2 linked regions of the Callithrix jacchus genome follow. The protein of the gene in region 1 interacts with the protein of each later gene in a biochemical or structural test. Links are inferred from orthologs where the notes say so. Each region holds a gene or a part of one and is shown in the gene's direction. Other genes may lie near its edges.

Region 1 (3,985 bases):
AATCCCAGCTACTCGGGAGGCTGAGGCAGGAGAATTGCCTGAACCCAGGAGGTGGAGGTAGCGGTGAGCCAAGATTGCGCCATTGCACTCCAGCCTGGGTAACGAGAGCGAAACTCCGTCTCAAAAAAAAAAAAGGCCCAGACCAAAGTTCAGAGTTTTAGCTTCCTGTCCTATAAAAAGGTTAAGATTCTTAGCTCTATGCTGAGGCAGTGAGTATGAGGAGACTTCAAAATGGCGCAGGTTGGTTGAGCAGGATACGGCAATAGTTAAGTTTGGTCAGAAAATAGAAATCAAAAGGAAAATGTGGCTATGGTCCCTTACCCCTAGCAGACCTTAAATCTTCCTGAGAACCTGCTTTTTTGGGAAGGCATGAGTGCCAGTAAGACTTGGCACTCCTCCTCTTTCCGCTTAACCACAGAAAATGACTTTGCCTTTCTGCTCAAAACTCATCTCTTCACTTTGTCACCCTATGTTTGCATCTTCCATCCTTAGTGCGTTTCTATTCAGTCTTTAAGCAACATACGTACGACACGTTGGACTCTTGGGTAGTCTCTAGGGCTGTAGCAAGGAGCCTTGCTCTCAAGGGACTCAATCCTGTGAACAGACCATGTGTAAACAGTGGCTCAATGCTGTGCCTAAGTGTGTTAGCCCCCGTGGCCAGCCTGAGGAGTTGGGAAAGGCTCCCTTAGGCAAAGAACCCAACCAGAATCAAGTCTTAACGGTTAGAAAAGAACTCCGTCACCCAAAAAGGAGTGAGGGCCTACTGAACAGCTAACGCATAATCTCAGAGCTTGTGAGCCAAAATTCCCTGGAATGACTCCACTTTATCCCCAATCTCCTGCCACCTCCACCAAGGTCCACTCACCACCCTGTCCCCAGCACTGACTGCACTGCTGTGACCACATTAAAGTTTGGCTCAAGATGGAGGAGGAGTGAGGAAGCTACTGCGCCAGTATGGCTGGTTGAGGCTGCCCAAGGTCCTAGAAGGAGGAAGTGGGTAAATGCCATATCTAAAAAGATAAAGCAGCCTCAGGTTTTATCAGGGACAGCAGTTTCCTTCTCCTTCCCCAACCTCTGGTCAAGTCACAAAGCACCACAGCTGTATAGCCAGATGGGGGAAGGGAAGAGATTAGAACCTAGCAGGCTATTCTAGACAGGTACAGACTAGTTCACAGTCATGCTATCCCAAGCAGAAAGTGACGATGTCTTGGACTAGCATGGTGGTAGTAGAGATGGGGTAAAGACTCAAGAGACATCATTGAGAGACAGAACCAACAGGACTTGGTAATAAACTAGTCTCAGGAAAAAGGAGGAGTCATGACTTTCAGCCATGAACACCCACACTCTGGGTGGCCTCACCCACTTCCTGGCGATCCTAGCGACCATGAGTCCAGGGGCTACAACCCTTTACTCTGCCCACTGCTCAGCAAGTTACTTCAGTTTCCAGTTTGATAAGAAAAGACTTCCTGTGGAGGAATCTGAAGGGAAGAAGGAGGAGCTGGCCCATTCCTGCCTGGGAGGTTGTGGAAGAAGGAAGATGGCTTTGTGTCCACTGCAAGCCCTTTGGCTTCTAGAATGGGTGCTGCTGCTCTTGGGGCCTTGTGCTTCCCCTCCAGCCTGGGCCTTGAACCTGGACCCAGTGCAGCTCACCTACTATGCAGGCCCCAATGGCAGCCACTTTGGATTTTCACTGGACTTCCACAAGGACAGCCATGGGAGGTGAGCTGTGAGGGCAGTTCGGGTATTGGGATAGAGCAGGACCCCTCTCGTCACTTCTGCTGGGTCTCCAAGTTTCCCATTTGTGATAGCAGTTGAGCCAGGTGACTTCTGGGGCCTATTCAGGTTGATTTCTTGTCAAGAATGATGGGGTCAAGGGGACTGGCTCAGGTGAAGGTGTAAGGGCGGAACACAGGTGGGGCAATGGGCACTGAAACTACAGCAAGAACAAAGGGAAGGCAAGATGCCTTATTTTCCCCCCCAAGGGTCAGTTCTATGAACCACTCCACCTTCAGCACCTTGAAATGCAGAAAGGAGCACACGTCCTAAATTAATTTGCAGAACTAAAGTTGTCTGCCCTGCCCCACCTTGCTTTTCTATTCCATTTCCCTCATCTCCATCAAGGTTATAGGTATTTGAAAAGAAGCAATTGGTCATTAATGGTTAGTATTGATCAGGCTTCAGAATCAAGAGTGCCAAGATTAGAGTCTTGGCCCCTCCTCTTCACAGCATGTATCCTGAGCTACTGTAGAAGACACTGTGCCCAGCTTCATGGGGTGGCAATGGCAGATAGTCTTCAAGTGTCAGCCACTTAGATTTCCTCTGCTGAATAGAGCCCATTCCCTCAAAGTCCGCTCCCAAGTTGGCCCACATACAGTGACTGATCAATTCGAAGTGGGCGAGTGGGGAGGGTGGAGGCGGGGGTGGGAGAGGTGTTTGATAAGGGTCCAGCCCTCTTTCATCAACTCTGACGATTCTTTTCTTTTTCAATTCTGCTCCTTCTGTAATAAATAGGAAATTACTTTTTAAATCTCTCCTCGTTCAATGGTTTATTATCTACTTATATTTTCCAGTCCTTTTTCTTTATTCTTATTATTTTTTTTCATGTTTTCTTTTTTCTCTCTTTTTTTTTTTTTGAGACATAGTTTTGCTCTTGTTGCCCAGGCTGGAGTGCAATGACTCAATCTCAGCTCGCTGCAACCTCCACCTCCCGGATTCAGGCAATTCTCCTGTCTTAGCCTCCTGAGTAGCTAGGATTACAGGCATGTGCCACCATGACTGGCTAATTTTTATATTTTTAGTAGAGATGGGTTTCATCCTGTTGGTCAGGCTGGTCTCAAACTCCTGACCTCAGGTGATCCGCCCACCTTGGCCTCCCAAAGTGCTGGGACGACAGGCATGAGCCACCATGCCCAGCCAACTCTAACAATTCTGAAGCATCATTCTAGCTCCAGAGCTTGTGGGGTGTTGGCAAATATTGTCATTGGGCCTGAATCAGCTCAACTTCTTCCTGTGCCCACTCCTGCTTCTTTCCCCTCCTGTAAGTAGTGATCCCATTGACACTACTTAAACATCCTGCAGGCTAAAACATATATCATAGGCCAGGCACAGAGGCTCACACCTGTAATCCCAACACGTTAGGAGAGCAAGGTAGGAGGATCACTTCAGCTCAGGAGTTCAAGACCAGCCTGGGTGACATAGTGAGACCTCTTTTCTAAATATATATATATATATACACACACACACACACACACACACACACACACACATATATATATATATGTATTTATTTTTTGAGACAGAGTCTTGCTGTTCTCCTGCCTCAGTCTCCTGAGTGGCTGGGGCTCCAGGGATGCACCACTATGCCAGGCTAATTTTGTTTTTTTTTTTTTTCCTTTTCTTTTTTTTAACATCCTGCCATAAAGTCTCTAGCATGCCAGGCTAATTTTAAAAATATTTTTAGCAGAGACAGGGTTTCACCATGTTGGCCAGGCTGGTCTTGAACTGCTGGCCTCAAGTGATCTGCCCACGTTGGCCTCCCAAAGTGCTAGGATTACGGGCGTGAGCCACCGTGCCCAGCCTACAAAAATATTGTTTTTAATTAGCCAAGCATGGTGTTACAGACCTGCAGTCCCAGCTACTCGGGTGGCTGAGGGGAAAGGATCGCTTGCGTCCTGAAAGTCAAGGCCACAGTGAGCCATGATCATGCTACTGCACTCCAGCTGGGCAACAGAATGAGACCCTGTCTCAAAACAAAACGACAAAATTATTTTTAAAAATTATAACATTGAGGCCGGGCATGGTGGCTCAAGCCTGTAATCCCAGCACTTTGGGAGGCCGAGGCGGGTGGATCACGAGGTCAACAGATCGAGACCATCCTGGTCAACATGGTGAAACCCCGTCTCTACTAAAAATACAAAAAATTAGCTGGGCATGGTGGCGCGTGCCTGTAGTCCCAGCTACTCAGGAGGCTGAGGCAGGTGAATTG
Region 2 (4,208 bases), on another chromosome or scaffold:
ACCAGAATAAGTGTGAATTGTGTGGAGCTTACCCTTTACAGAGGGAGTTAGTTCCACTGAGCTCATTACCATCTTCCTCTTTTTTTTTTTCTTTTTCTTTTTTTGAGACGGAGTCTCGCTCTGTCTCCCAAGCTGGAGCGCAATGGTGCGATCTTGGCTCACTGCAACCTCTGCCTCCCAGGTTCTAGCGATTCTCCTGCCTCAGCCTCTCCAGGAACTGGGATTACAGGCGCCGCCACCACACCTGGCTTTTTTTTTTTTTTTTTTTTTTTTTTGTATTTTTAGTAGAGACGGGGTTTCACTGTGTTGGCTAGGCTGGTCTCGAAATCCTGACCTCACAAAGTGCCGGGATTACAGGCGTGAGTCACCTCTGTTGGGAAAGATGGAGGAAAGCACTTGGCCCTGCAGTTGGTCTGCAGCACCACTTAAAGACTGCAAATTTGGGCAAGCCACTTCTGAGGTAAAAAGGGCATAATGATGCTTAGCTCCTGCGACTACTGAGGGGATGATCGGTGTGTAAAACATTCGTCAGTCTAACAGTTCTAAATGCTAAATAGTACCTATCATCCAAATCGTTCAGTGCAGTGGTTCTTAAACCTGCTTCACCTGTAGAATTTATACAAATGTCGTTGCCCAGGCCCCACCACAGATCAGTTAAATAGGAATCTTCGTAGGTATCCTCCGCACCCATTCTTTCCTCAGGGGATTCATGTGTAGGCAGGAATGAAAAGGTGTTAGTACAAGCCACTAGTTTTACAGAAGCTAGGGACAGCAACGGACTGAAGTTAACAATCCCGTGAGCTGGTTGAGGCCCGAGCTCTCCGGCAGAGGGGCCTCTCGCTCTCGGTTGGGGAGGCTTGCCCCACCCTTTATTATTACGCCTAACACATAAAAAACGCGCAGGAATTTTTTTTTTCGGGGGTTGGGTTGGAATCAAACGCAAACTCCTGAACCAGCTAGAGCGCCGCGGGGCAGAATCATCCGGTGGGGACCGGGACAGCGCATCGAGAAGTGCCCTGGCCCAACGCCCGCAGGAACCTGAACCCCTGGGCCAGCGCTGCCTTCTCTCTGAGAGGTCTCTAGCATCTGCACTGTTAAAGCCATCTGAGCCTCAGGGCAGACTGACGACCCTTACAGACCAGACATTTGGATGCGACCACGCCGGAAATTCCCGGGAATTCAGTCTTGGCTCCGATTCCAAAACAAAAATTTCCTCACCAGCCCGGATCTCTGTCATTAGCCTTAGTCTCTGGTCACCTGATCTATTTAAGCCAATGAGAGGCGGCTGAATTAGTACTTCCGCTTTCCGTGCGCATTAACGAGCCACTATGCCCATCCCTCGGATACTCTGATTGGCCAGCCTCTCTCAGCTCGTCAGTTTATTGGCCAGCGCCGCTAGGCCGCGATCGAGCCGGGTCCGAGAGCTGTGTCAGACGGCTGGGCAGCCATGGCGTCCTATTTCGACGAACACGACTGTGAGCCGTTAGACCCCGAGCAGGAGACTCGAACCAACATGCTGCTGGAGCTCGCAAGGTGGGTGCGGGGGGCTTGGGGATGGAGTCCAGTTAGCAGGTTTCTGGGCTGGGGCTGGCTGAAGAAGGCGGATTACCAGGGGCAGCTGATTCTGGGGAGGACGGATGAGTAATCTGCAGTGTTAGTCCGGGCGGTGAGATTGAGGGGTGTGGGAATGAGCATCTCGATAATTTGCGCCGTCCGTTGGGCGGGCCTGGGCAAGGGAATTGAGGGAAAGACGAGCTGGAGTGTGGTGGACTTGGGGGTGGAAGGACAGCAGGCTCTGGGGGGTCCCGGAGAAGGTGAGGCATGGGGGCGGGGTTGGGGCCATGTGCTGTGAGTGGGTATATTCATCCGGAACAGCAGGCACTGCGGACTTGGAATCTGGCTCCACAAGGTTATTCTGCGTGGCCTGAGTAACTTCTCTGAGCCTGTTGCCTCATGTGTAAAATGGAAATAAAAACTTTACGTGCTGCGGCGGTCTGGTAGCAGCTGTATAAACTATTTCCCATCGTGCTTTTTATCTAGTGAGCATCTACTAACTACTAACGGTAGCTCTTATTCCTACTAGCTGGGCAGGGTGTTTATCGGTTACTGTCCAGTGGATTACTGTGGCAAAGAGAAAGCATAGTTTTCCTTTGTTCTGACTTTACCTCCTCTTCCCCAGGTCACTTTTCAATAGGATGGACTTTGAAGACTTGGGGTTGGTAGTAGATTGGGACCACCACCTGCCTCCACCAGCTGCCAAGACTGTGGTTGAGAACCTCCCCAGGACGGTCATCAGAGGCTCTCAGGCTGGTAAGGACACTAATATTTTCTGCTATTTGGGCCAGACCCACCCCTTCCCCAAGTCAGACTGTGGTCTGGTACTTAAGTTTTCCAGGCCAGGTGGGGCAAGTGTCCTTCAGGAGTGGGAGCTTGGGAGGCAGGGACTGTAGCATCTCTCCTGATCAGCACTCCTTCCCAAAGAGCTCAAGTGCCCCGTGTGTCTTTTGGAATTTGAGGAGGAGGAGACTGCCATTGAGATGCCTTGCCATCACCTTTTCCATTCCAGCTGCATTCTGCCCTGGCTAAGCAAGGTACTGCTTCTCTTCTTCCAGCTGTCACTCTGCTCTGGGCCCAGTACTCAAGCTTCTTTCTGTTCATGGACTGTTGGGGGATCAAAGAAGGGTGGCACTTGGGAGCAGGGGAGGGTGGTTATCAGCTTATGAAGATCAGACAAAGGCTAGACACTACTCTATTTTTCTCAGACAAATTCCTGTCCCTTGTGCCGCCATGAGCTGCCCACTGATGATGACACCTATGAAGAGCACAGACGAGATAAGGTAGGGGCTGATGGTTAAGTGGAGGGGTCTTACTAGGCTCCCTCAGTCCTGTCCTTGCTGCCATCATTTTCCACCTCAGCAGGACTGGACTAGGCCTCAGCAGGCCTGACTCTGGCTGGCTTCTTAGTGACTTTGGTTTGTGGTAAGAGCCTCAGCAATGCAGATGCCAGAGGCCTGAAAACAGAGCCAGCCCCATGATAGTTGCCCATCCCCTCACCCACAGGCCTTCAGTTTTGGCCCCTGCCCAGTGTGCCCTCTTTCCTTCAGGCTCGAAAACAGCAGCAGCAGCACCGACTGGAGAACCTCCATGGAGCCATGTACACGTGAGGAGGCTGGGGCTGAGCGCCGGCCCTCTGCATCTTCCTTAAAACCTTGAATCCTCATTAAAGGTTTCTGTACTCACCCTGAGGCTGTACTGATCACAGACCTGGTCAGGGGCTCTGCATCCTCCTTCAGGTCTCTACTGCTATTGGGGAAGGTGGTCCTAAACCGCAGAAGCAGGCTGTGGTTTCCCTCCCTGCTGGCCCATCTAGACTCATGGCAGTGGATTACTGCACCAGCCAGGGCTCCGGCCTATGTGTTCATGTTTGGAAGGCAGAATGTGTCAGGGTCTGGCACCCAGTTAATTACTTAAAGCTGATAAACTAGCCTGCAGCCTCCTCCCATTGCAATTTCTAGTTCACTTTGAAATCCCAGAGGTTTTCTTTTTCTCCATTGAGAAAGCTGCTTTTAATATTTTAAAGTTGCTCTCTGTACTACCCCCACCTTCCACCCCATGCCTCTTACTGAGGAATCAAAGTTCAAACCAGACTCTGAGTGGGGGATGGGTGAGATTATTAGATCAAGTCAGTTCTTTAGATTGTTTAGAGGCCCAGAATGGTTTCAAGCCCTTCAACGGGTATTTGAATGGTACCTGCCATCCTTTGTTTCTGGCAGCAAAGTGTGCTCAGCACTCTCCTGCGGGGCAAGGGCTTTCTCTCATCCTTGGCTTATGGAAAGTCATCCCAGATCAGGTCCCCCCCTTTCCCGACTCTCCAGAACAGACTACAAACATGCAAATTAGAATTCTTTTAATATAAAAAAAAGTACTAAAATACCCACGTGGTTCTGCTGTGTTATTTGCCCTAAAGGAAGTGAGGGGCAGAGTGAAGAATCCCAGTGCAGCTCAATGGGCCCAGAAATGGGCCTTTCCATAGGCTAAGGCGTACCCGCTCCACCTCCACCAGACTTCTATCCCCACTGCTGTTCCCAGCCCCCAATTCCTGCAGCAGGAAACCCCAGTGGTCTGGCTCTGGCACTGGGAGTAGAAGGCACCTGAAGGGCTGGCTGGGTGAGTGAGGACAGGTGACCTTTAAAAACAAAACGACACCA

Evidence for each region. The genes of interacting proteins can lie anywhere in the genome.
Region 2: the proteins of ITGA2B (region 1) and RNF181 form a complex in vitro, tested with the Homo sapiens proteins (2 studies listed by BioGRID). The link is inferred for Callithrix jacchus from reciprocal best matches to the Homo sapiens genes ITGA2B and RNF181.

The regions. Positions count from the first base shown.
Region 1 is NC_133506.1:71,227,171-71,231,155, reverse strand, and holds the start of ITGA2B (integrin alpha-IIb), read left to right. Parts: upstream 1-1,185; 5' UTR 1,186-1,330; coding exon 1,331-1,719; intron 1,720-3,985. UniProt on the Homo sapiens protein: Integrin alpha-IIb/beta-3 is a receptor for fibronectin, fibrinogen, plasminogen, prothrombin, thrombospondin and vitronectin. It recognizes the sequence R-G-D in a wide array of ligands.
Region 2 is NC_133515.1:27,429,392-27,433,599, reverse strand, and holds RNF181 (E3 ubiquitin-protein ligase RNF181), read left to right. Parts: upstream 1-1,408; 5' UTR 1,409-1,447; coding exon 1,448-1,533; intron 1,534-2,179; coding exon 2,180-2,310; intron 2,311-2,481; coding exon 2,482-2,591; intron 2,592-2,762; coding exon 2,763-2,837; intron 2,838-3,104; coding exon 3,105-3,164; 3' UTR 3,165-3,933; downstream 3,934-4,208.